2 linked regions of the Caenorhabditis elegans genome follow. The protein of the gene in region 1 interacts with the protein of each later gene in a biochemical or structural test. Each region holds a gene or a part of one and is shown on either strand. Other genes may lie near its edges.

What was found.
Region 2: of the proteins of mbk-2 (region 1) and meg-1, one has a biochemical effect on the other in vitro, tested with the Caenorhabditis elegans proteins (one study listed by BioGRID).

The regions. Positions count from the first base shown.
Region 1 is NC_003282.8:13,002,334-13,015,107, reverse strand, and holds the start of mbk-2 (Dual specificity tyrosine-phosphorylation-regulated kinase mbk-2), read right to left. Parts: upstream 5,951-12,774; coding exon 5,879-5,950; intron 5,649-5,878; coding exon 5,593-5,648; intron 5,472-5,592; exon of another isoform or gene 5,451-5,471; intron 495-5,450; coding exon 284-494; intron 210-283; coding exon 1-209. UniProt on the Caenorhabditis elegans protein: Required for oocyte-to-zygote transition in which it phosphorylates oocyte proteins, including mei-1, oma-1, oma-2, mex-5, and mex-6, modifying their activity and/or stability following meiosis.
Region 2 is NC_003284.9:13,921,569-13,934,017, forward strand, and holds meg-1 (Protein meg-1), read right to left. Parts: upstream 8,067-12,449; 5' UTR 8,046-8,066; coding exon 7,907-8,045; intron 7,857-7,906; coding exon 6,774-7,856; intron 6,731-6,773; coding exon 6,490-6,730; intron 6,445-6,489; coding exon 6,166-6,444; intron 6,116-6,165; coding exon 5,975-6,115; intron 5,929-5,974; coding exon 5,901-5,928; 3' UTR 5,468-5,900; downstream 1-5,467. Other genes in the region: Protein meg-2, read right to left, coding at 1,504-1,528, 1,573-1,713, 1,870-2,101, 2,145-3,764, 4,046-4,348, 4,402-4,540. UniProt on the Caenorhabditis elegans protein: P granule component, which acts redundantly with P granule component meg-2 to promote P granule segregation during embryogenesis, and germ cell proliferation and differentiation in larval stages.

The sequences.
Region 1 (12,774 bases):
AACGATGACGTCTGCACGTAGTTGACGAGATGCGGATTTGCAGACGAGTTGATAACTGGAGGAGAAATATCTCGAATTGATTGCTTCAAATCACGAGAAATTGTACCTAGTGGTCCATAGAGATTGTTGGTCGACGAATTCGTGGACGACGGTTGATGGTAGCTTCGAGTGAGCGTGTTTCCGGAGCCGAGAGCCGGGTTACGGTGTCCCTGGAAAAAATTCCTTAAATTTTAACCGCCGCACAGCCTAGTATCTTGTGTATCCAACATCCAGCATTCCTTACCTGTACAAGACTGTTGCTGCTTGCCGAGTTCTGTGAGCTTCCGAGCAGATTTGGTGGCAACGAGTTTTGCGAATGGTATACCGGATGATGATGGTTGGAGCTGGACGATGATGCTCCCGAGAAGGAGGTTGGCGCGGCGGCAAACGACGCCGATTGTGGAATCTGCGGCAGATAGAGTTGCCGAACAAGAGTTGTTGATGTGGGACACTCACTGAAAAAAATGGGACATGTGATTAGGTAGAATTATTTGATTGGGGTGGAAGAATTTCACATTTTAAAATTTAAAATTAAATCGAGGTTGCTAAACCCTTAATTTTCCCAATTAAACCATCATAAAAGTTTGCTAAATTGGCTTGTAAGTTCGATTTATGCCAAATAGTGAAAGTGTACAATTTTCCCCCCGACTAGACTGAAAAACAATAAATGGGATGAATGAAAAATGTATCCCACTACAATGTAAAAATGCGTACCAAAAGACTAGCCCCACAGCTAATCTCAAAATCTGTAAAAACATCAAAAAACAACTCAGAAAAAGAAGAAAAAAAAAACACAATTTTGTAATACGTACAGTTAAGTAGAAGGGGCAGCGATTAACGAGAGGACATAGAGATAATCAGTCGGTAAGGGAAAAAAGTGTTTTTATCTAAAAATCAATGAATTTAGATCTAAAAAGTCGATTAAAAATTAGATCTTGATGGTGTAAAGAGGTGAAAGGGTTGAAGTACAACATCAGGTGATGGAGAATAATTACAAATGATGGATGATCTTTGAAAATTATTAGCAAAATAAAGGTACACGTGATAAGCGCCAAAAAAAAGCCATGCACATGAATCTGAAGACGTGTCTTCCTACTGTCGAAAATTTAGCTACAAAATGCAATGCAGCCGACACCTCACGGGATCAGAACAATGTGTGGAGGCTGCCAAAACTGCGGAACACGGAAAGTGTCGGGCGCTACTACTTGACCGTTGCTACAGCACCCGACACCTCACGGGCTCAGATAGAAAATATGTGGCTACGGGAAAACGACTATTTTCGGGTAATTTTGAACACAAATAAAAATTGAGGTCACTGAATTAAAAATTTAAAACTTGGATTAATCATCATTGAATAAATTAACTGAACAAATGAACACCTAATTCATTTCTCATTCATTCTCACTTTCTTTCCAGCCTCCTTCCACACCTTATTAGTCATGCGAAAAGAACGAGAAGCACCGTGAAAATCGGAGAAGAGAGTGAACGTTTCGGCTAATCTATTCCTCAGTGTGGTGGCCAATTCTCTCTCTCTTTATAAATCAATTGCCATCATCAACATTTTGCCCATTTTATTAATAGGTACGATGCCTTCTGGCGGCGTCGTTTTCACTTTCGCATGGAAACACAGGCAGGAGATCGACCAACGTTTGAATGGAAATTGAGAGAGACAGAGACATAGACGGTGAAAGAAAAGGCGTGATGGTAGAGGTACAACTGGTGTCAATTAAAACTTTTCAATGGTAATAAACTACACGGGGAGGGGGTATCGAGGTGTCCGATCTTTAAAGAGTGAGAAGGAGGGATAATGGTAGAAGTTCGAAAAATATTTTTTACAAAGTAGAAATCCCGAAGATTGGGGAGCATCGGGTCCTACCGGCAGTTTTGAACGAAGGACATAAGACGAGGGGAGGCATTTCCGGGTATATGGAGGCGTTTTCAGACCCCGAGACATGTCGCCCCGCCCTCGTATGTTAACTTATTTTGCAGTGAAACAAAAAAATTATCAAAAATCTTTCCCTGACCAAGTGTAATATAATCGTTCAGACTACAGATGTTCTGATTAGAAATATGTGGTTTGGCGCCGTTCCTTAATTCGAGCACCTGCCTGTCAAGTGATTCGAATGGCAAAAAAATATCAAGGCTTAACGAAACGAGGGGCCTAAAAATTCCGGTTTAAAAATTAGAAAGAATTGTAATTTTGTGCAACGCTGAATTCAATACAACAAATGTGACAAATTGCTCATAATGCCGTCGGAAATGTGAGGGGAGGGCGAAGAGGCGAATGAGAAGCGTCTCCGTGACGCCTTGGCTGGGCGGAATTCCCACTGTAAACTTTTCGTTCACAAATTCAAAAAAATATTCACAATCTCTATGGGAATTATATTTGAAAGCCTGCCAGTTTTCCAGATACTTAAATTTTTAACTAAACTTACTAACTTTTTAACTTTTTAACTATTTTTAAATAAAATTCAACGACTTTTACTATATGCAAAACCTCACCTCGAAACATCAGGAAGACTTGGAAGTTTTTTGAAATTTTTCTTAGAAATATTCGAATCAGTCAGCGAATTCTTCATATTTGCAAAGAGGAATGAGCCCTGCTTTTGCGCGCGCGAGGAAGAGCCGCCTCTTTCCAGAAGAAAATGAAGGAATGAATGAAGGCAGGGAGCGATAAAAGAGGAGATAGAATTTGTGTTGGAAACTACATTTACAGGCGATTATTGTGTAGTATTAAGTACAAATCTCACAGCTTTGTAAGAGTTTTGGGGCTCTCGAGAAGGAGGAGGAGGAGGACTTATAAGCTTATGCAATTTGATCAAAAGTGCTAAACTTGGCTGAAATTTCAGAATCAAGCAGGTTTGTAGTTGTTTTGTAGAACTAATTTTTGCAAATATTAAAAATTTTAATTTGAAAAAGTTAGATCGTTTCGGATCAAAAAAAATTTCTCCGAAATTTGTTAGTAAGTCAAAAACTAATAATTAAAACTGAGAATTAAAAAAAATTACAGTAAACTTTTTGATTTACAACTATTATAAAACCGTAGTTTAAAAATTGCAAACTGTGACATCTCGGAGAAAAGCCAAAAAAAAAATTGCAAAAACTGTATGTTTTTACAGCTCCAACCATTTTGGCAATAAATAGGACAAGTATTTATTTTTACTGAAAAACTGGAAATTTGGTCATTCACAATAGGAAGTAATTTCTAAAACTACAGAAAGTGCTAAACAACACACAAAGCCAGCTAGCGGAGGATCGTTGCGAGTTGACCAGGTAGATCAAAAACAAAAAAAAATTGTACATACATCTCAAGAATCTGTAGATCACTGTATACAATCATAAAAGGTATGGAAAGCCTCTCCTAACGACTAATGAAAAAGGGAATCCCTGTGAGAGAGGCGAAGAACGATGAAGAATAGAAAAGACGGGTTTTTTACGAGTTGTTTCCATCATGGCCCGGCGTGTGTGTTGCCTCGGTTGGTTTGATTACGATGCCTCATTTTCCCGACCGCAAGGTCCTCCTAGTCTCCACCATACAGGTAAAGAAAACAGAAAACACTACCGAATTAGTACTTGTAATTAAAATAAAAATGTGTGTGTGTGGGGATAGATAGGGGAACGCGAGAACCTTATCTGGGGGAGGGTGGGGAAAGCGGGACTGAAGACTAACACAAGTGATACAGAGAGACAAAGATCGGAAAGATTCGGTGCGGATTTTTGATGACCAACATTTGATACGGTACTTTTGTGAGGAACGCTTTTTTTTGGAAAAAAATATCGTAGTTTTCTGAAAACTTCAGCACAAGGTTTGGCGAATTGGCAAAATTTTTTGCAAACTTTGAATTTTTCAAACAGAACCTTCACAATGTTTAAAAAAATTAAAACTGAAAATTTGTAGAAAAACCCTTTCTTGGTCAATTTCTTGATGTATGGAAATTCAGGAAAAATAGTTTTCTGCAACATTTGTATCACAACGAACAAAATAAAATTTTTGCACATTTGCTCTTAGGCTTGCGAATTTTTCTTTTAACTAAATCTAACAAGATCAAAAAGTTCCATAATTATTTCGTTCAAGTGAACAAATCTCTTGACACTTAAAAATCTCTAAAATCAACCTGTTTTCAAGAAACCATAAAATGTTCGTTTTCTGTAAATTGTCTACTTTCAAGTACAATCTATCTCATTTTTCCTCTTCTCACACACATTGAAATCGTACTTCGAAGAACAATCAGAAAACGTCTTGAAATTGGATAGGGTTAAGGGGGCAAGCACAAAAGGAGTCATTAAAGTTCCATTTTCAAAAAGTGGAGGAAAAAACTTCTGATGAGAACATCATGACGTGCAACTAAATTCTCCCTTCCCGGATATTTTCCTATCATTTTTCTTCGAAGAGAGGGTAAAGGGAGAAAAAGGCCAAGGGAACACTGATTGACTCTTTGAGCATTTTTACACTTTGTGTGTCTCGTTTAAAATGTTGTTACATTCAAAATTGTGAGAAATCGACGAGAGATAGGATTTGAAAAATTGTTCAATTGAAGCATAAGTTTCTACTGAAAAGTCGCTTAAAATTGCAAGTGGCTGAGGAAGTGATTTGATTTTTTTAAAATTTTTTTTAACCAAAAAAATACCGACCTCTACGTCTACTATAAAATATGCGTAAACTTACATGAGGTGAACACTAAAGGCCAGAGTTCAACTTAAAATAAAGGAAATCAGCAAACAGTAGGCAGGCAGGCAGGCATAAGGATATACCTACCAACAATTTAACAATTTACATTACTCCCTTTCTATTGTGACTAGACAACGGGGCCGCCTTACTCAAACGCCAATGCCAATAAACTACGTTAGCTTAGGTCTAACTGTTTTGTTTTAGAGTATGTAAGCTTCAAGGTATTCTAAAACAGCTGTTTTCAGAAAATGAATGTTTTGAAACTATTAAAGTGGGAGAAAAACAAAATTTTTAACAAAAATGTATTGAATCCTGATTAAAATTGCAAAATCAAACAGGTCTGAATCAAAAAAGAAATGATTGACTGTGAATCTAATTGTGAAATCGCTGGTATACCATTCTTGGGTACTCTTGATGACAAATACTCCCCCCACTCCTCCTTTTTATTGAAAAGAAAACACCTCTTCATTGAATGAGAAGGGTTCTCGATCTCAATTTTCATTGATTTTTTTCCTTGTTCCGCCTTTAGATTTCTATTACAATAATACATTGTGATTTTCAAAACATGTTCCAATTTCCAACTAATTAGGCCCTTTACACCAGCTTTTCAACTAATCAGGTTAAGCATAAATGGACAAAAAACATCAAAAAGTTTTCTCAAGGACCCCACAGGGTGTAAAGTTTAATGGGATCCATATGGTGGTCAATGGGGGGGGGCTTTCAAGGAAAATAAATGACCGTCTGCTGCAGGCACGACTTTTGAATATTTCTAGAAATTTCCTTAAGAACTTCAAAGTAATTCGAAATTGCAATATTTTAAACTACATACGTTTAGTGGGAAAATTGAAGAAAAAATTTGAAGAGAAAAAGAATCAAAAGCTCACTGTGAAACTGATCTTCCTTGTGCATCCAGACTCATTACACTGCGATCTCGCTGACCCTGAAATGATTTTTTTTGAATTTTAGGAGCAATTTGTTTAGAATTTTATAATCCTAGTAGAACTATAATAACTAGTAATATCAAAAATGAACATTTAAGAAATCACACAAAAGTTCAGAAAAAAGTCAATATCTTTACTTTTTCAGAGGAGAAATTTAAAAATTTTCAAACTCCATTTCAATTTGAAACTATAATTACATGCACTACTAATAGAGGTATAGCACACCCACCTGTTGTGTAACATCAATCGGTTGTTGCCCGTAACTTCGACTGTTACGTGTGAACGAGGCAAGAGCAGCCATGCTTCAACTACTCTAGACTGCTGCAAGTTTGGGAGAGAATTCCTAAAAATTTTTTGTACTTTTTAATACAATTTGTGGTAGGGGGTAATAAGAGAGTTGACGACGAGTAGAGGGTAATCGGATCAAATACATTTTGTTATCAATGGGAGAAACACCTCACCGAACGTGGGGACAAGTTGGAGCAGATAAGAAAAAGGGGCAAATGATGTTGGAAGAGTCCGTTTTTCTCCCCCTGTTTCTCTTTTACTCTCTAGGAGGAATCCACCAAATTTTTTTTTTGCAGAAACTTGTGTTGTGTTGCGGGTTTGTGGAAGAGCATATGGGAATTGGAGACATAGAGTACGGAGCAACAAACGTTTTTTGAATGGTACACCTAACGGGGTGGAGAACGATGATAAATTGATAGGCAGGCAGTGGATGCTTGGAACGCATGGAGCAAAACTTTTTAGTGAACTTGCTTTGAAAATACAATATAATATAAAAACAAAATAGCGTGAAACTTATTATTAGTGAACCGAAATACGTTAGATGCACAATGACAACAGTGATAAGAAAACGAGATAACTAGATATTTACGCACTTTTAAAGTTCTTCTCCCCATTTTTACGACTAACAATTGGCTTATCAAGAGTCACGAGAGGAGCATCAGCTGGCACCGACCAAAATGGTTTTTTTTCAACTTCCCCTTGTAAGGGAAATTTCTGAACTTTTCCAAAACTTTCTTCCCATAATCTTTGCGCATTCCAAATGTTTTCAAAGCATGCCTTATGAAAACTTAATGCTAATAGTTTTTGATGTCTGATATAAAATGCAAAAATATGGATATCATATGATCAGCGGCAGGAAATATTAAAAAGGGGAGTCTAGAAATAAACAGGCTGAAATTTAAAAAATAGAAGTTAGGGAAGGCATAGAGGATAGGGACCAAGAATGGATAAGCTCAAGCCTAAACCCAAGCCTAAACCCAAGCCCAAACCCAAGCCTAAACTCAAACTTAAACCCAAGTCTAAACTCAAAGTTAAGCCCAAGCCTAAACCTGAGGCTAAACCTGAGCCTAAACCTGAGCCTAAACCTGAACCTAAACCCAAGCCTAAACCCAAGCCTAAACCCAAGCCTAAACCCAAGCCTAAACCCAAGCTTAAACCCAAGCCTAAACCCAAACTTAAACCCAAGCCTAACCCCAAGCCTCAAGCCTAAATCCAACCCTATCTTGAACCTTAGCCTAACACCAATCATAAACAAAAGCTTAAGCCCATAGCAAATCTAAAATCCTATAGCAACCTAAACCCTAGCCTAAGATTAAACCTGAGAATTCTCTCTTATTGAAGCTTAATTGTGTACAAATAACTTATCTGGCATTGGATTCCTGATTGTGAGACGGTTAACGAAATGTGCAAAAAGTGAGAAGAATTGAAAGTAATAAAATAATTGAACAAAGGCAATTTATTTTTATTTCATACCACGTGGATGACCGTGTAAGTTTATTTTGGGTTTCACGCAAAGTTACTTTTTGAAAAATTTTCCAATTAGCATAGTATGTAGACTCGAGGAAAATTGGCATATTTGCTTGGCAAAAGCAAGCCTAAATGAAAACCAGAGCTTCTGCTAAAATTAACTAAATATGTGGTAGGCAAGCACAAAAAAACTAAACCCAAGCCTGAATCCAATCCTAAACACAAGCCTAAACCCAAGCCTTAACACAAGCCTAACAAAGCCTAAACCGGTTTTACCCTGCCTAAACCGGTTTAACCTTTCACGTAAGTGTTTAAAATTTTTTCTCCAATTTTCAAAATTGAGTTGGTCCGAGGTAAGTAGGCATATTTGCCTGCCAACGAATGACTCGTACCTACCCCCAGCGTACAACAAGGCAGGAATGTAGGCCGTATTTTTTATTAACACATGGATGACTGCGTAAGTTTATTTTATGTTTCACTTAAATAACCTTTAAAATGTGTTTCCTATTAGAAAAATGAAATTAACTCGAGGCAGGTAGGCATATTTGACTGTATCGAGCCTACGGCCTATAAATCACTAGACAAGAACGCCTGAAAACCTTAAATTCTATCACGTGTAAAACCAAAAACCAAAGAAAAAACAGCAGCCTGGTAATTAGAAATTCAAAGAAAAAAAGCAAATGGATGAGCGAGAAAGAAGAGAAAAGTGTGAAAGATTCATAGGGATATGTGATGAAGGGTGGTTCGGCGGGGCGAAGGCGTATTCCCTCAGAGTGAAAGAATGGTATAGAACAAGAAGAAGAAGAAAAAAGTGCATTCGGGGTCATAGTAAATTGGGCGTGTTTGAGCAGGGTGAGTGAGGGGAAGAGACAAGAGAAAAGGGGGTACAAAAATGACTGGTATCGACGATTATAATCGAATGAATGAGAGTGTTTGTATCTGATGGAATATCTAGGTAAAGACGGGCGGAACCAATGGCACGGCATTTACGGACGGGAAGGGCCATTCGGACGGTGCGTGATTTATTTATTAGCATGGTAAGAGAACACCGGAATGGGTGTCTTAGTGAAGACAGAAACATGTAGGTAATAGAAATTGGAATTGAAAGTTTTAAAATTATTTCACTCTTCACCGACAATTTTGAAGCCCGGGAGCTTAGTTGATCGCTCAAAAAATTTCTAAATTGCATAGCTTACAAAATGCTATTTGTTTAGATTTTTTTTTCAAATGTCAGATTTTAGATCTTAAAATATCATTATTTTGAGATTATAAAAAACGTTACAGCTATATGTTAGTAAGTTAAGTAAGAGTTTCCAAACATAATTCAAAAATTTTTTGACTTTTGATAAGTTTCGAAAGAAAACTTCCACATTTTGAAACGTCCACATTATTTCAGAGTTTAAAAACTATATTTGCATTTCCAGAAAGAAAGTTCCAAAAGTTATGCGAAAATTTCATATGAGTGAGTCACTTTTCCCATACTATAACATATTCAAAACCTAGGGAGTACAAATGGGAGAATTCAAAATTGTGGTGAGATCTAGACTGAGATCTTTTCACCTGACTCTTTCAGGTGAAAACGACTGTCTGCCTACTAAGCCTTTAAGGCAACCTATGCCTACCTCCTGCATACATGCGCGAAAACTGTAAAAGTGCACGAGAAATTTTTTGTTTACATAGAAAATGTAAACTGGATGTATACCAAGGCAGATGCGTAGGCAGGTATGCACGCCTAAACATTTTCCTAAATTTTTATAGTATCTGAATTTCAATATCAAACATTTTAAACATAAATATCATTATGTTTAGAACCAATACCGTAATCTCAAATTTTCGTCCAAAATGCCAATTTTCGGATGAACTGAGCAAATATTGTGGAAGGGGAAATGATTAGGAAAAGAGCAGCCGCCATCAGTATGTTTGGCGCGGCTTCCCTTTAAGGAATTAGTCAAAAAAGGAGAATGTTACAATGAATGAAGTTGTTCCAGTGTTCGATCCTCGACATATTCTGAAAGCAAAAAAAAGTGATTGTCAAGAGATATTAAACTAAACAATAAGGAATTGACGGGTGGAATACGGAAGAAAAGTGGAGGATGAGAAGCGAATCATCCAACAACAAAAAAAACTGAAGGTCGAGTGGCAAAAAGAATTTATGAATAGAGAAAGAGGGGCGGAGTCGACCGAGCATGAGTTAATCGGTAAAGAATTGAGAAAATGCAGAGGAGAATGGGAGAAGCCTAATGGAATTGTAATAGTCCTCAAAAAATGTCTGATAAAGTTTCCAAGTTTTTAACAAGAATCAGTGAAAATTCAGCATAACAAAAAATTTACCTATAAAAAGTATAATTTTTTCTATCAACACTGCCTACTGCACTGCCTACTGCCTACTGCCTACTGCCTACTGCCTACTGCCTACTGCCTACCGCTACAAAAATGCCCACAGAATCTAGCTGAAGCAAAAAATTCTCTAACTTTGCTCAGTGGATTTCCCAGACTGCTTCTAGACTCCAGTGAATTCAAAAGTTCAGAAATTCTACAAAAAAAAAAGAATTTCAAAAGAAGCAACAAATCGGAACTGAAGTGTTCTTGAGCATTTTCCACCAAAAAAGGGAAAGACAGATTTTAGATTCCGGAAGATAAGAAGTGGTGGTGGTTGGGAGGAGGAGGGCATAACGAGGCAACATGCGTGAATGCATTTGAAAAGCCGAAAGAAAGCTTTGATGGGTTGAAATATGAAGCTTCTCCTTTTTTTCCATTCGAACAACATTTGTTGATGTCGTAATTGTTGGGATAGAGGAGGTCGTAAGAAAGGCGAGAAGAAGCTGAGTGTATAGAGGAAAGGGTAAAACAATAACGGGTTGGGGGTAAAAAAAAAGACCTAGAATTACCAAATGTGTACTAGGAAAGTCAGGTTTCATACAAATGGTCAAGAAGGTTTGACGGGGGCTTCTTTCTTTTTGCAATTTATGAATTTTCAGATTTCATCTAGATCGAATTGCGACCTAGTTCTCTTGCAATTTTCAAACGGAAATTCTATTTCAGAATATAGAGCCGAAATCACTGTACTTTTCAAACAACAAAAACAAAATAATAGTTGATTTTATTAGAATTAAATTGGCAAGAAAAATTAGGAAACAAAAAAGGTCCATTAAGATGGTTGGTCTCTAGAAAACAATGTGTCTCGTTGTAAGGATTTGTAAAAATCTATTCAAAAAGGGTCCCACAGGAAAGATAAAAAATGAAGATACCTTTATAATAGAGCTAATATTTGAATGTATAGGTCATTGGGTTGTAAACATCTCTTTTTATGGGGTGAGTAGCGATGTCTTGGCAGCTAAATGTATCTCCCTTCAAAGAAAATATGAGATTATGAGAGTAATTGAGATTATGAGAAAAATGTGTCCTGTAGGTATTCTTAAACAATTTGATTGCTAGGTTTTTTTTAATTGACTATATAAAAGGAATAAGGACAAGTTATCCGTAAATTTTTTTTCTGAAAATGTAGAAATTTCCTAGTCGCTATCCTAGAAAAAGTAAATATTAGCTAAATGTTATAACTGTTTTGTCATTTTGTGCATGCAGACTTTTTTGGAAAACTGAACAACTTGAAACGTCATCAAACAAAAATTTTGACAGAAATTTAGTTAATTTATGTTTTTAAGAATTTTTATTAACTTACCATTAAACCTGATAAATTTTTCAGAGATACAACATATTTTTGTATAAATTTTCACGAAAAATGAACTTTTTTCGAAATTGCCAAAAAAGCACCAAAAATGTTCAAAACCCCAAAAACCACAAATTTTATGACGTTCTCGATAGTTGACAAAAACATTCCAAAAATGACAGAAAAGCTACAAAATGACAACTGAATGATTCGTTTGAATGGGCGAAAAGACAGAGAGAATTTGCCTCATGAAAATCTGAGAAAAGTGTGTGGCGGGGGACCCCTAGTCAGTGTCAGATATTTTCGGTTTTGCTCAAGACGAATGGCCCCGTGGGGGAATCTTGTAGAGAAGGAGGGATCGAAAAGGAGATGCTTTCACACATACACCCCTTCAAACGAAAATCGAATCATGACTACAACAAAGGAACTAAAATTCACGGGATTCTTGCTTCTTTCAGATATCTGCGTACGTATAACTAGGTCACATTGTAAATCGAAAATCAAAATCCAAAACTTTTTGGTTTCTAAACTTCACTGTTACTCTATCTCGTTTAGGTATTTTTCTAGTTTCCTGCATTAAAGTTATTTAAGTTATAAATTTTAAAGTCGAACAATGCTCTAAAACTATCACTCTTTGCGAAAAACAAGTCTGAACATTCTACACTTTAATATTTTTGTTTATAATTTTTCTAAGAACTCCTCTGGTTTTCTGGAATTTCACATATATTTAGAGACTAGAAGATGGAAAAAAAGAAAAAAAAAACAACAAAGTGGACCCTTGTCACGCGAACTTGTATGAGAAAAACTGAGAAAGAAACCAGTGGTAAGAGTAAGAAAACAAATAAATACCACACAAAACTCTTGTCCACCATTCTCAAAAAAATCACAAATTTTTAGAGCGGGGGAGGTAGGGGGGGACATTACTTTTGTACTATTCCTGAAAAAATGTGTCATCCTGATGGTATATGCAATTGATAGTACCAATATTTCAATGAGACACGATTTTTTCCGGTTTTCATGGAAGTTTGCGAGTTTTTGATTCTCCTAAACTTATGAAATTTTGGGTTACAGTATCTAAAAAATAATTAGCATTAGAAAAAAATTACGAAAAAATCATGAAAAATTCAAAAATTTTAAAAGCCTAGAGGAGCCTGTTCAAAAATTTCTGAAAGCATTGAGTCAAATGCCTGAAGTGAAAGATTTTTATTGGAAAATTGGTTGAGGTCATGGGAAAATGAAAAAATTACAAACAATACCAACAGGTATAAGAGAAATTGATTCAAAAACTCGGAAAGCCAAGAAAAAAATCTGAACTCTATGAGTAAAACACCTAAATTTACAGTTTTGCCCAAACAAAATAAGTTGAAGTAAAAAAAATATTAGGAAAAATTACGAAAAAACCCTTTAGAAAGAAGGAAATTTCGGTGTTTAAACATTAACAGCCAAAAAGTGGGCGGAGCCTAAATTGGGTGATTTTTTAAAACTCAAACATTCAAATTTTGAACGAATTGATCAGCAGTAAAGAAAAAAATGAAGAATAAACCCCGTCTGCTTCTTGGCTTTTGTCAGTTTTGATTACAAAATGAAATCTATGGGAAATCAACCACGCACATTTTTATTTTCGCTTCAATTTTCTCCTCATCATCTTCTTCATTTCCAGCGCCTTTTATTTACGATTCACCCCTATCCGTGTCATGTTGTAT
Region 2 (12,449 bases), on another chromosome or scaffold:
TTTGGCTTAAATTCAACAGGAAAGTTCACTTATGTAAAGGCAAAAAAATAATTCTATTGACATCAGTCATATAATATGCGGCAAAGGTGTGCGGTAATCGGAAAATTTTGGCAATTGGCATTACCGGTAATTCTTAATCTTCAATATATTTTAAGAAATTTTAAATTCAAATTTGACATAATTTGTCAGCTTGGCATGTATTGAGCCAGTTTTCTACCAATATAATAACTTTATAACAATCTGAGCCTCAAAATTCTATGCACTAGAAATTTGAAAACTTTTTATTTTTTCCATTGCATGATTTTTGAAATTTTTAGCAATCTGCAGCTCGCCCCGGGCATGGGGACTTAAAATATGATAATCAGTTTTCTTGTGATAAAATTTATCGTCAGATGAGACACTTTTTGAAATATTGGCGTCGATTTCTGTGGGCGTCCCAATGCCAAGCAAAAGTTATCACGTTTTAGGTTGTGCTTATTAAAGATCAGGGAATTTTTTTAGAAAAGCAGGGATAGGAGACAAAGTCGGGTCTGTACAATATTGACAATTTGAAATAGATTTTCATAAGCTGTTGTTTTTACACTTTCAAACATGAAACAGTTTTCTCAAAATCATGTTATAAGTTACTATCGAAGATCTATCTTTTGCCAATTACCAACATGTAAACTTTCAAAACTCACATTTAATTCATTCGAAAAGATAATCCTTTGGGCTTCAAAGTTTCTTTATTCTCGTTACAAAGATTCTGAGCAAAATAGCAAAACCCGGTTCCCTTACAGAATTAAGCTATGCGGCGTTAAAAATGACAGTTTCCTGCATAAAAATTTTAATTACTGGAATAAAATAGTACCTTATTTCCCCAAGCCTGTCTCAGAAATTTTGTTCGGAAAACGTCTCGGTCAACTTTTTGTTGACAATGTTTTACCCTCTTCCCCCCCTCATACTTAGTCACCGGACTCTTGCGGGTCCAAATGATTATTTTATATCTAGTTATTCATTCCTTTTTCCTTCACTTCACTGCTTTGTCGTAATTGTGTCATTGTGATTGTTGCCTGATGAATAAATATAAATAAATAAATAAAAATAATTGTATGCATTAAAATAAACAACAATAAAAACGACCGGTGAGGTTATACTTGACAGTGGCTAGGAACCCGAAAAAAATTGAGACTGAGCACTATGAGATACAAGTACAATACAAGATGGGCTGCTTGTTGAAAAAAAAATCACAGGAAAAAACTAGAAGTCGTAAAATTGGTTAGTATGGTAAGAAGAAATGGTATGGTAAAAAAGTGGGTAATAAGGCTGTTATTGGTAGGCGAGCCATTGATCAAAATTAACTGCTGAGAAGTTCCTGTTATGAGATACAAGTACGATACAAGTTGGGCTGCTTGTTGAAAAAAATCACAGAAAAACAACTAGAAATGGTAAAATTGGAAAGAAATGATATGGTACAAAATTGGGTCGTAAGATTGATGTTTGTAGTTGAGCCAATAGTCAAAATTAGTTGCTGGGAGGATCCTTGTCACTGAAATTATAAAGATGTGATATTTAACTATTTTTCCCGCTTACCTCTGATTGTCTGATTTCGGTGAATCAGCCTGGTTCAGATCATCTTCGGGATGATCTATATCGTTGCGACGAGAAGCTTCTCCTTCTGCTTGGCGTGGGAAAGATTGGGCCAGCAAGTCGCTCAATGCGTTGACATTGGCACTGAAAATTATAATTGGTACTTTTTTTATTGGAATACTTTGATGTGCTCGGCTCAGATAAAGAATTAATTGGTACGCGTGTATTATAACCAAACTTTTTTTTAATGCAGCGAGTGCCAAAAAATGCCGAGGCATCGGACTGGATTCCTGTGTGTACCTGGCATCATCTGCTCCTTCGACCGTCGCTGACACTGTTTGATTCTGCACATCCGCCGAGCCTGAGGCTCTGGCGTTTGAGCTGTTGAGAGCAGCAGACCTGGCATTCAAGTTAATAATGGATTGGAGGAAGTTGATGTTCGCTCCGCGATACTGCATTTGCACCATCGTCCGCCAGTAGTCGTAAAGCATCGCCTTTAGTGTTATTGAGAACTTTAGCACTGGAGTCTCACCTAAAATTATTTGAAATCAAAGAATACACATTTTTCCACCTACTGGTTGATGTGCCTGAATCATAATTTGGATCAACTCCAGGAAGTAGGTCGTTGTACAATCGCCTTGCAAATTGCTCAAACTCCAGAGTGTTCAAAAATTCTTCCTCTTGCCTTATCAGATCAGGCAAATGAGGTGCAGGACGTGATGAGCTTTGTTGAACTGGGAACTGTTGATTCCCGGAGCCGTGATTCATAGATGAGTTGGAGGGACCTGCTGTGGAACTTGTTTCAACTTGAGCAATTCCATGAGCCATCAAGAAGCTTTCCTGCAGACTGGGCAACTGAGGTGCAGGGCGTGATGAGCTCTGTCCCATTCGGAACTGTTGATTCCCGGAGCCGTGATTCATAGATGAGTTGGAGGGACCTGCTGTGGAACTTGTTTGAATTTGAGAGAGTCCATGAGCCATCAAGAAGCTTTCCGGCAGATTGGGCAACTGAGGTGCAGGGCGTGATGAGCTTTGTTGAACTGGGAACTGTTGATTCCCGGAGCCGTGATTTATGGAGGAATTGGAGGGACCTGCTGGGGACCTTGTTTCAACTTGACCAATTCCATGAGCCATCAGGAAGCTTTCCGGCAGATTGGGCAACTGAGGTGCAGGGCCTGATGAGCTGTGGTTCATTCGATTCCCGGAGCCGTGATTCATTGCATTGAAAAGACCTGACAGAGAACTCGTTGGAATTTGAGAGTTTGCATGAGCCATCAGGAAATTTTCCGGAAGAGCAGGCAATTGAGGTGCAGAACCTGATGAGCTCTGTCCCATTTGGAACTGTTGATTCCCGGAGCCGTGATTTATAGATGAATTGAATAGACCTGACAGAGAACTCGTTGGAACTTGAGCGTTTGCAGGAGGCATCTGGAAGGTACGATCTCTCGAACGGTTATCCATGTTCATTGCTCGAGTATCTGCATTTTGATTATTTGGCCACAAACCCATGTGTGGAGGAGCTTGAAAGCCGGCATTTGGAAAACCGTATGGCATATTTGAAGTCGGATATCTTCGTGCATGAGCCCTCTGAGCAAGTTCATAATCGTACATGTCTACAAGCCTGGGAACTCCGTGAAGCCTGGGAACACCGTTAGACAAAGGTCTTGGTACGAAATTCATTGGAACGTGGGAATCGCCTTGAGCCATCTGATTACCCATGTTCATTGCTCGAGTATCGGAACTCTGACCATTGACCTCAGGACCAATGTCTGGAGCTTGACCGCCCGTATTTTGTAGACCGTTTGCATTATTTGGAGCCGAATGTCCTTGTATTTGAACCAATCGTGAAGATCTATTGTCTGCCTCTCTTTGGTAATTATATTGCAACCGGAAAATTGGAGCATGTTCTGTTCGTGATTGCGATGACATGGTGGAAGAAGATTCAGAGCGATTTCGATTTCTTGTATCCTGAATCACTGGCTCTTGGAGGCTCGTATTATTGCTCGTTCTCCCATCTCCAATGCTGCCAAATTGATTTTTGACGCGATGTGTGGCCCGGGATGATCTCCGTTGGACAGTCCGGCTTTCGCCTTGAAACGAATTATCAGAAAAACTGTATTCGCGCCACTGATCTACGGATGGTAGATTGATGGAAACGTTACTCCGGTCACCTGCATACTCATCGCGATCAACACCTGAAACAATTTAGCTTATTAATATATGAAGTGCCAAAGAATAAATGAAGTTGTACTTATGTTTCCGATAAATGTTTCATATAAAAAATAAATAGAAATTGGAACCTTATCAATTTGTTATGTTTTGATAACTTATTTTCATTCAATTATTACCCGGTACTTCAGTAAGAAATAAAGAGAGAAAATTTCATACAACATGAATATATGATTCTCCCGACTGTTGAAGTAATGCACTGTGAACGTAGATAATTTTCTAATCAAAGTTTAGATTTGAGGCTCACCTGGAACCTGGTTCTGATGTGAGGGCGCCTGTCCTCCTTGAGACTCGTCTCTCGATTCATATGTCTGTCCACGCCGAGTTGTTGATCGTGGCGGAAAATTGCTTGCATTCCTGTTGTCCGTTTCCTGTGCAATTGTACCACTTTGGTTAGTTCTACTTTGTGTGGACGCGGATGAATCGGATTGAACGGTTGGATCATCGGCAAGAGACGTGTTTCCAGAGAAGCACAGCCAAAAATTCTCCAAATTATTTGAGCCATTGTACATGTCTGTCCAATAAAGTTGCTGCTGGTTGTGAACTGCACCTGTAACAAACCGGTTTAATAAATATAGTGAATCTAAATTTATTTTTTTTTACCTCCAATACTACGCATGTTGGTCGAAGAAACTGATTCATCACGATTCCCGACTCTCGCTCTTTCTTGGGACTGTTCGCGACGGTGATCTCCGGGTGGTGGGAGATTCTCATCCGATGAAAGATCATCACAATTTTCCATTGCCGCGCAACAAATGGAAACCTAAAAATTGAAAAATTGTAGAAAAATGTTAAGAAAAAAGAAAAAAAAGAGATTTCGCAACAACTGCAGATGAAACAGAGAGCGGACCACTGTCCACGTGTAATGGAACGAAGACTGAATGGAGTGCCTCGGAAGGAAAAGTGAGAGGGAAGAGACGCAGCAAGTGCGTGACGGAACTGTGACGATGGATATGATGAAAACAGTGCACACGCGAATTATTGATTTTACCATTGTAAACTGGAACAGATAAAAATGGAACGGTTCTTATTTATGCATGATTTTTTTCTTTGAATTTGAAAACCTAAGTTAGCTGTGAAAGGGCGAATGTGATCGTTTGAAATTTCTCAGAAACCTTATGAAATTCTGGCGTTTGAGAGTTTAAAGTATGCAGAAATTAGAGTTGTAGGGATTTCAAGAAAAAATTGCATAGTTCAGAGTTTCTCAAAATAAAATTCTCTGAAGTCTTATTGGTGTGCAATTTTCTGCTGTTGAACTATTTAAAACAGTGCTGGCCAATACTCGCTTTCAATTTTTCGGCGACTATTTAGACTTTTCCAATAAGTATGCTCCAAAAGCTATACGTTTCAGCAAGAAACTTTTAACTAAAAAAGTGATCCACACGTTTTTATCTACTTAACCTAGTTAAATACGAGCATTCGTTGATCAAATGAGGTCTTAGGTTGATCACTTGAAAAATATAAAAATGCACCGAATCAAGCCACATCATAATTGAACTTTACAAGTTTGTCCTACCATTAAACCTGAACTCGTTTTCTCAATATCTTCATCATGTGAAAAACGGTATGACTTTTAAAATAAACCAAAATAATTCAATGGGTATTTGTTTTTGAAAGATATATGTTTGGATTAGTAATTTCCAGTTTTTACAACAAATTTCAAACATTTAGAACAAAATATTTTTATCGAAATAAACAACAATAGTCGGTGAAATTGTACTGGACAGTGACTGGAAAACCGGTAAGACTGAAACTGAGCACTATGAGATACAAGTACAATACAAGATGGTTGAAGAAAATCACAGGAAAAAGAATTTCTAATCGTGAAATTGGTTAGTGTGGTAGAAATAGAGAGTGTTATGGTACAAAATTGGGTAATAAGATTGATGTTGGCAGGCGAGCCAAAAGTCAAAATTAGTTGCTGGGAGGTTTCTACTATGAGATACAAATACAGCACAAGATGGGTTGATGGTTGATGAAAATCACAGGAAAATATAATTTGTAATTGTGAAATTGGTTAGTATGGTAAAAATAGAATTGTTATGGTACAAAATGGCAGCACAGTAAGTGTGTTCTTGTAGGCGAACCAATTGTCCAACGTCTCATTCATTGCTTGGCAATTCCTTGTCACTGAAAAAAAAATTGCTTGTTATTTATATAAGTTCACAAGTCTCACCTTTGCTTGTCCGATTCTTGTGGCTCAGCTTGTTTCAAATCACTTTCAGAATGAACATTCTTGGTGCAATCAGGAGCTTCGTCATCTTGTTGGTGGAGGAAGGATTGAGACATGTAGCCTTTCACAGAGCTGGCAATATCACTGAAAAGAAATAATAGTACATCGGAATTCGTTTATTATGGTTAACATACCTTGAAGTGCTTGGCTCAGGCGAAAAGTTGATCTTTTCATCAAGCATACGAACAAAATTATCCATGTCCATTGTGCTTCGCTTTTTGATGCCACTGTATCTAATCATCTTCTCAAAGGATGGTGTTTTGGGCTTAGTTGAAGCTGCTGGAACTGGCCCGGCATGACTTTGTGAAGAATCCAAATTCTCATCAAGTGTCTCCAAGGTATTATCAAGACTGGCAGCGGGACGAATGTACATGGATCGGCTTTTGGATGGCTGTGAAGTCGAAGCATCCTCTCTGAAAAAAGTAGGATAGAAAACAAACAACAGGCAGAGTATGCACCTGGCAACATCCGAAACCTCAGCCGCAGTTGGAAGAGTTTGATTGAGAACATCCGATGAGTTTGAGGCTTTGGCAACTGAACTGTTGAGAGCAGCAAACTTGGCGTTGAAATCAATAATCCACTGAATAATGTTGATGTTGGCTCCACGATTCTGCATTTGCATCGTCTTCCGCCAGTAGTCGTAGAGCATCGGCTTCAGTGTTTTTGCCAGCTTCAGCAACTGATGCTTGGGAGCGTCACCTAAAATGATTTTAAATCACATAAACACACAAATTCCACTTACTGAAAGTGTCTGCAGCACCATTTGGAAGGATTCCCGGAAGCAAGTAGTTGTACAATTGTCTTCCAAATTGTTCAAAATCTGGAGTCTCCAAGAAAGCTTCCTCTTCCTTTGTCAGAGTTGGCAAATGGGGTGCAGGGCGTGATGGGCGTTGATCCACGTGGTTGTATTGGTTCCTCGAGCTGTGATTCATAGAAGTGTTGGAGTGAGCTGGTCTGGAACTCATTGTAACTTGAGAGCTCCCTTGCGCCATCTGGAAGCTTTCCGACAGATTAGGCAACTGAGGTGCAGGGCCTGATGAGCTTTGATTCATTTGGAACTGTTGATTCCCGGAGCCGTGATTCATGGATAAATTAAATAGACCTGGCAGAGAACTCATTGGAACTTGAGCGTTTGTATGTGGCATCTGGAAGGTATGATCTCTTAAACGGTTATTCATATTCATCGCTTGAGGATCTGCATTTTGAGTATTCGGCCGATGAGCTATTTGTGGAGCTGGAAAACCGGCATTTTGAAGACCGTAAGCTATATTTGGAGCCGGATATCCTCGTCCTTGAGCCATTTGTGAAGACTGATTGTATTGGTCGAGGAGTGCCTGATTGTATTGGTCAAGGAGTGTTGGTGCTAATGACTGGTTCAGTGCAGAATAGCTTTGGTTGTGTCCCATGGCAGTAGGTGCTCTCTGCTCCAAGAAATTGCCGTTCGCGACATCAGCGGCCAGTCTTATCCCGGTTCCAACAGCGTTTTGTCCAGTGGATCCCAAACCAGTGTAAATTCCAGTGTGATCGGAAAGAACTCGATGATCTTGGTCTCCTCCTCGCAAGTTGCCAAAAACGCTAAACGAAGTGTTCAGGTTATTTCCAACTGCTGAACCATTCAGGAAACTCGCATTCCTATTGTCCCTTTCCTGCACAATTGTATCAAAATGGTTAACTCTTTGTTGTGCCAACGCAGAGAAATTGGAGAGAACATTTGGATCATCGGCAAGAGACGTGTTTCCAGAGAAGCACACCCAAGAATTCTCAACATTATTTGAGCCATTGAGCATGTTTGTCCAATGACGTTGCTGCTGGTTTTGAGCTGAGCCTGAAAAAAAACCAGTTTAATAAATCTATTGAATTTTAATTTTTTTTTACCTCCAATACTACGCATGTTGCCCGAAGAAAACGGTCCGTGATGATTCCCGATTCTCATTCCTTCTTGGGACTGCTCACGTCGGTGATATCCTTGCGGTGGGAAATTCCCATTTGAAGAAAAATGACCACGATTATCCATCGCCGCTCAAGAAATCAATCTCTAAAAATGGAATTATTGTGGAAAAATTACAAGAATTTGGCTAAAAACAAAAAAAAAATTCAACAGAAAATAAAAGATTTCGCAATAACTGCAGATGAAAAAGAGAGCGGACCACTGTCCACCAGTAATGGTACGAAGACTGAATGAAATGATATGAAATGAGAGAAGAGAGGGAAGAGACGCGCAGCATGACGAAACGTGGCGGCGCGCAGACAAAACAATACAAAAAAGAGCGGGCAGGTGTAGGTCAAAACAAATTTTGTGTGGATCTACTATTTTGCTCTTTAAGAATCACGCTAGAAATACGCAAATAAAACTTTGAATTTGGACAATAAATGAGAAAAAAAGTACTATAAAAATTTTTGTCCATTCTCGTAAATTAATAGATAAATCGGGAAGCACCTTTGCACGAAAGACTGATAAAGATAAAGAATAAAAAAGCAAACAATTATTTTTATATTTTGATTAAAACTAAAAAAAAACCTTTTAATGATTTTTGTCTAAAAGTCAGAAAACTTATCAATGCCGAATAAATTTGGTTGGGCCACTGCAGTCTAAAAACAATCCTCATTTTTGATAATTTTTGTAAGTTTTTATAATTTCAATACATGTTCGTTATAGCTACCCGCCTTTAACTTTTTATATAACACATAATTTTTTAAAAGTTATTTCACTACAAATTCACGTTTATCACACAAAAAAGATCAGAGTTTGGTAACAATATATTTAAAAACATTTGTTTCAAAATCGATGGTATGAAGCAAACGTATCAGTATTCAAAATAGTCATGTACATAAATTAAAATTTCTGGCTTTTTCAGAAGATTGGTTGAATGTAACCAAGCTACACATTATCCCTAGAACGTCGTCTTGATTCTGAAAAAAATCCCAATCATAAATTTCGGGAGTATATGAATTCTTATGATTTTATTTATGCTTTGTTCAAATGTATATCTAAGATCAATCATTTTTCGCTACTAAATCATGAATTGCAAGTTTTCAAAGTTATTCAGAAATGTGATTCTTTTTTATTTAATTTTGTTTATACTTTTCTAGCATCAGCACTCTTCTCAACAATAATTGATGTACTCTTAATGACAGAATTCTCCTGTCATAGTATTTGTTTCTCTCCGTGATTATCACCCGTGCTTCATTTTTCAGTTGCTCCTAGCAACTCATACTATCCCAAGGGAACTGAAAAAAGCGGGGCACTGCCGAGCTTCACATCTATGGTAGCGCTGATTTCCTCATTCCATTGCCCAAAATGATGTTGGCTATATGCTTCGGTATATTAATCTCATTCATGGATACTTTTGGGTTCATCGCTACCTTATTGTACCTTATGGTTGCAATCAAGTGTAACGGAATCTTCTATGTTCCACATCTCGTGAGATACTTTTTTCTCATCAATGTAAGTCAATTTCGTCTGATTCCTCAAACAGTAATAAACATAGTTTAGACCCTGATCATCACAATCAATTCGGTAGTTCTTTCAAAATTTGGTATCATCTGTGGCAATTTTGAATGGTTTGAGGAAGTTGTGTTTGCTCCAAACTTCCACTCATCAGCTCTTAACATTCTCCTCCGCGTCTCCAACTTCCTTTTCCATGCGATTTCAACTCTTCAAATCATCGTCATATCGTTCATGATCTTCATGCGATTGAAAGCTAAATACGATCGTGTTCCTGTGAGTAGTGCTGTTGGTCAAAACTTGATTGACGTGTCATCAAAAAAAAACACCATATTTTAACCAATTACAGGTAGTTTCCGACTACCGAATCCTGCAGATAATGGTTGTATTTTCAGTTGCGTCTGCATCTCCACTACTTTTTTCACCAGTGGAGTTCGAGCTTGTTTGGGACCAATTCTACTTTGTCACCAGTAAAACTGTGAGATACATTAACACGATTTATATGTATTCTCTTGAGTAAAACTTTTCAGCCGATCTCCGTGATTCCTCCTATCATCATCTGCACCCTGTTCTTCAATCTGATTTTGCAAATTTTAATAACTGACAGTCTCATCTTTTCAGAAACACCTTGGTTTGTTTGTGGCGTCGGTGTCTTTGTTGTCAACATGGTAGGTCAACATGCACCATATTCCGTGTCAGAAAGTATGATTATAGGCCCTTCTAGAACTAGACCACTATCTCGACATAAGCCTAGTTGCCGATTTTGAGTTCGTTGTTTTCCCGTTGACCACTGCCTGCTTCTCTTTTTGTGTGCCGGCAAGTAGAATCATCCCATTCAAAGAGGTAAGAGAGAATTGAAAAAATAAATAAGAAAAATAGTATGTTGGTTGTTTCAGAGCCGCTCCGAAATGTGGAAACTTCTCTGGGGCTACGGACAAGAAACCGCCAAAGTACATCCAACTGTGGAATCAATTGAAATGAAGTTTTAAACCTGCACTCAATAAGATCATCACCAATCTCTAATTCCCAATTTTCTTGTGATCCAGTATTATTTTAGCCAAGGGATTTCATAAAATCTTTTTCTAAGTTTTATTTCAGATTTTATGCAGTTTGGGGATATTGCTGTCCCAAATTAGCATATTGTGGTTAAAACTGAAATTATTCGACTGCACGTTAGCTCCATAGTTCAATTGGTCAAAATCCAAACTGATCAACTTATTGAGTCATTAAATCATATTTATTTTTGTCTTTTTAGGTCATGTTGTCAATTAATTATCAGATGACTAGTAATCAAAATTTTTAACCATTGATGATTAATATAAATAGTGATACATCAATCTTTTTGAATTTGGTTTAAAAATAGAGTACTCTGCGATTGTGAAATCAGAAGATGACTTGAACATACTACTACCTTTCGTGGATAAGAATTAAAACGAAAATTAGGGTTACAATAGTGGGTTGAAATAGATAAAAGTTTGCAAAAGCTCAACGGAAACCCCTAGGCGTCTAAAATGAGAGCTACTCAACTAACTGATTCAAAAACAAATACGTGTTGTTTTTGTACATACTAACGCTTTTATAATTTTAAAATAGTTTTAAAGCATTTTTCAATGAAACACTGTTGTTTTGTGGAAATTTTTTGAATGAAATTTAGTTTAAAAAAAAAGGAAAATGTGCAGAAATTGCCAAATATCATTTATGTAGTAAAACATATTGAAAGTTTTTTGAAGTGAGTTTATTAACTGTCAAAAAGGCAATTATTCAGTTTTTGCTATACATAATTTTTGAACAAATAATTTTTATTAACGATTCTTTCAGAGCCACTGTACTCTATAAAGAATTTCGGTTTTTTTTTTCAATTTGAAAATTGCTTACTGCTTCGATAAATTTTGGAAAAACCGGTATCATGTTTTAAAAAACTAAAATAAATTTCAGAACCGTTAAATGCTCCAATAAAGTTTCCAGAAACTAATTTGAAACATAAATAGTTTTTTTTTAATTTATATTTCTCAAAATATCCTCAATGAATGCTCGAAGATATATTTAAATTCGCTATCCCAAACTTACCATAGAATCGAATATTTATCCGAATAATCAAACAGCCAGATTCACACTTTTATTTCATCAAATTCCCATTTCCTCGGTTACCGCCCAGACATTTTTTTTGTTCATCCGGTATTATTTGAACTCATCTATTGAAATAAATTATTCAAAATTCACTTCTCTTTATATGATTTTGATTGGTGAACCCTTTTCCTTAAAATTCGATTAAGTTGAGTTACTAATTTTAAAACCACCAGTAAGTTTTTTTTTTAAATTAGTTTTAAAATTTTGATTTTAGAATTAACAATATTTTAAGTTTTAAAATGCATATAACAATGTCGGTTAATCATTTTCGAACAGCTTATACTAGTAGATTTGATATTTTGATAAATTCAGTTGAAAAAAAAAAGATAAGGTTCGAGTCATTGTGGCTACCAAGTGATTAGCAACTGCCACATTTGATTAAACCAACTGACATCTTTTCTTTTTTTTCGGGCGCTGAAGCAGAGAACAACTACGGAGAACAGTGTTCATAAGATCAAATGTCGGTTCAAAAATATTTAATTAAACGGAAATACTTGATGTTAAAATGTTTGGGCTAATTGTATCAAAACACAAAATTTTAAGGTTTAGAAAATTCTTTATTTGGTTTTGATTAAGTTAAACCTAATATTTTTCTCAAACTTCAAGCAGTTACTGCAAAAAAAAAACACAAAAACACAATTGAATTCAAAAAAATGTAAAGAAAAATAACAGAACTTACAAGTTAGTGCTGCATTTTTAAGCGAAAAACGTTCCGAATTCTAACTGAAGTAATGAGAATTATTTCATATAGGCATGTATTTCTAACGATCAAATAATTTGGAAAATGAATGATATTTCCTAGAAAAAATTAAAAGTGTGGGAAAAAATATTTTTAAAAAAATAAAT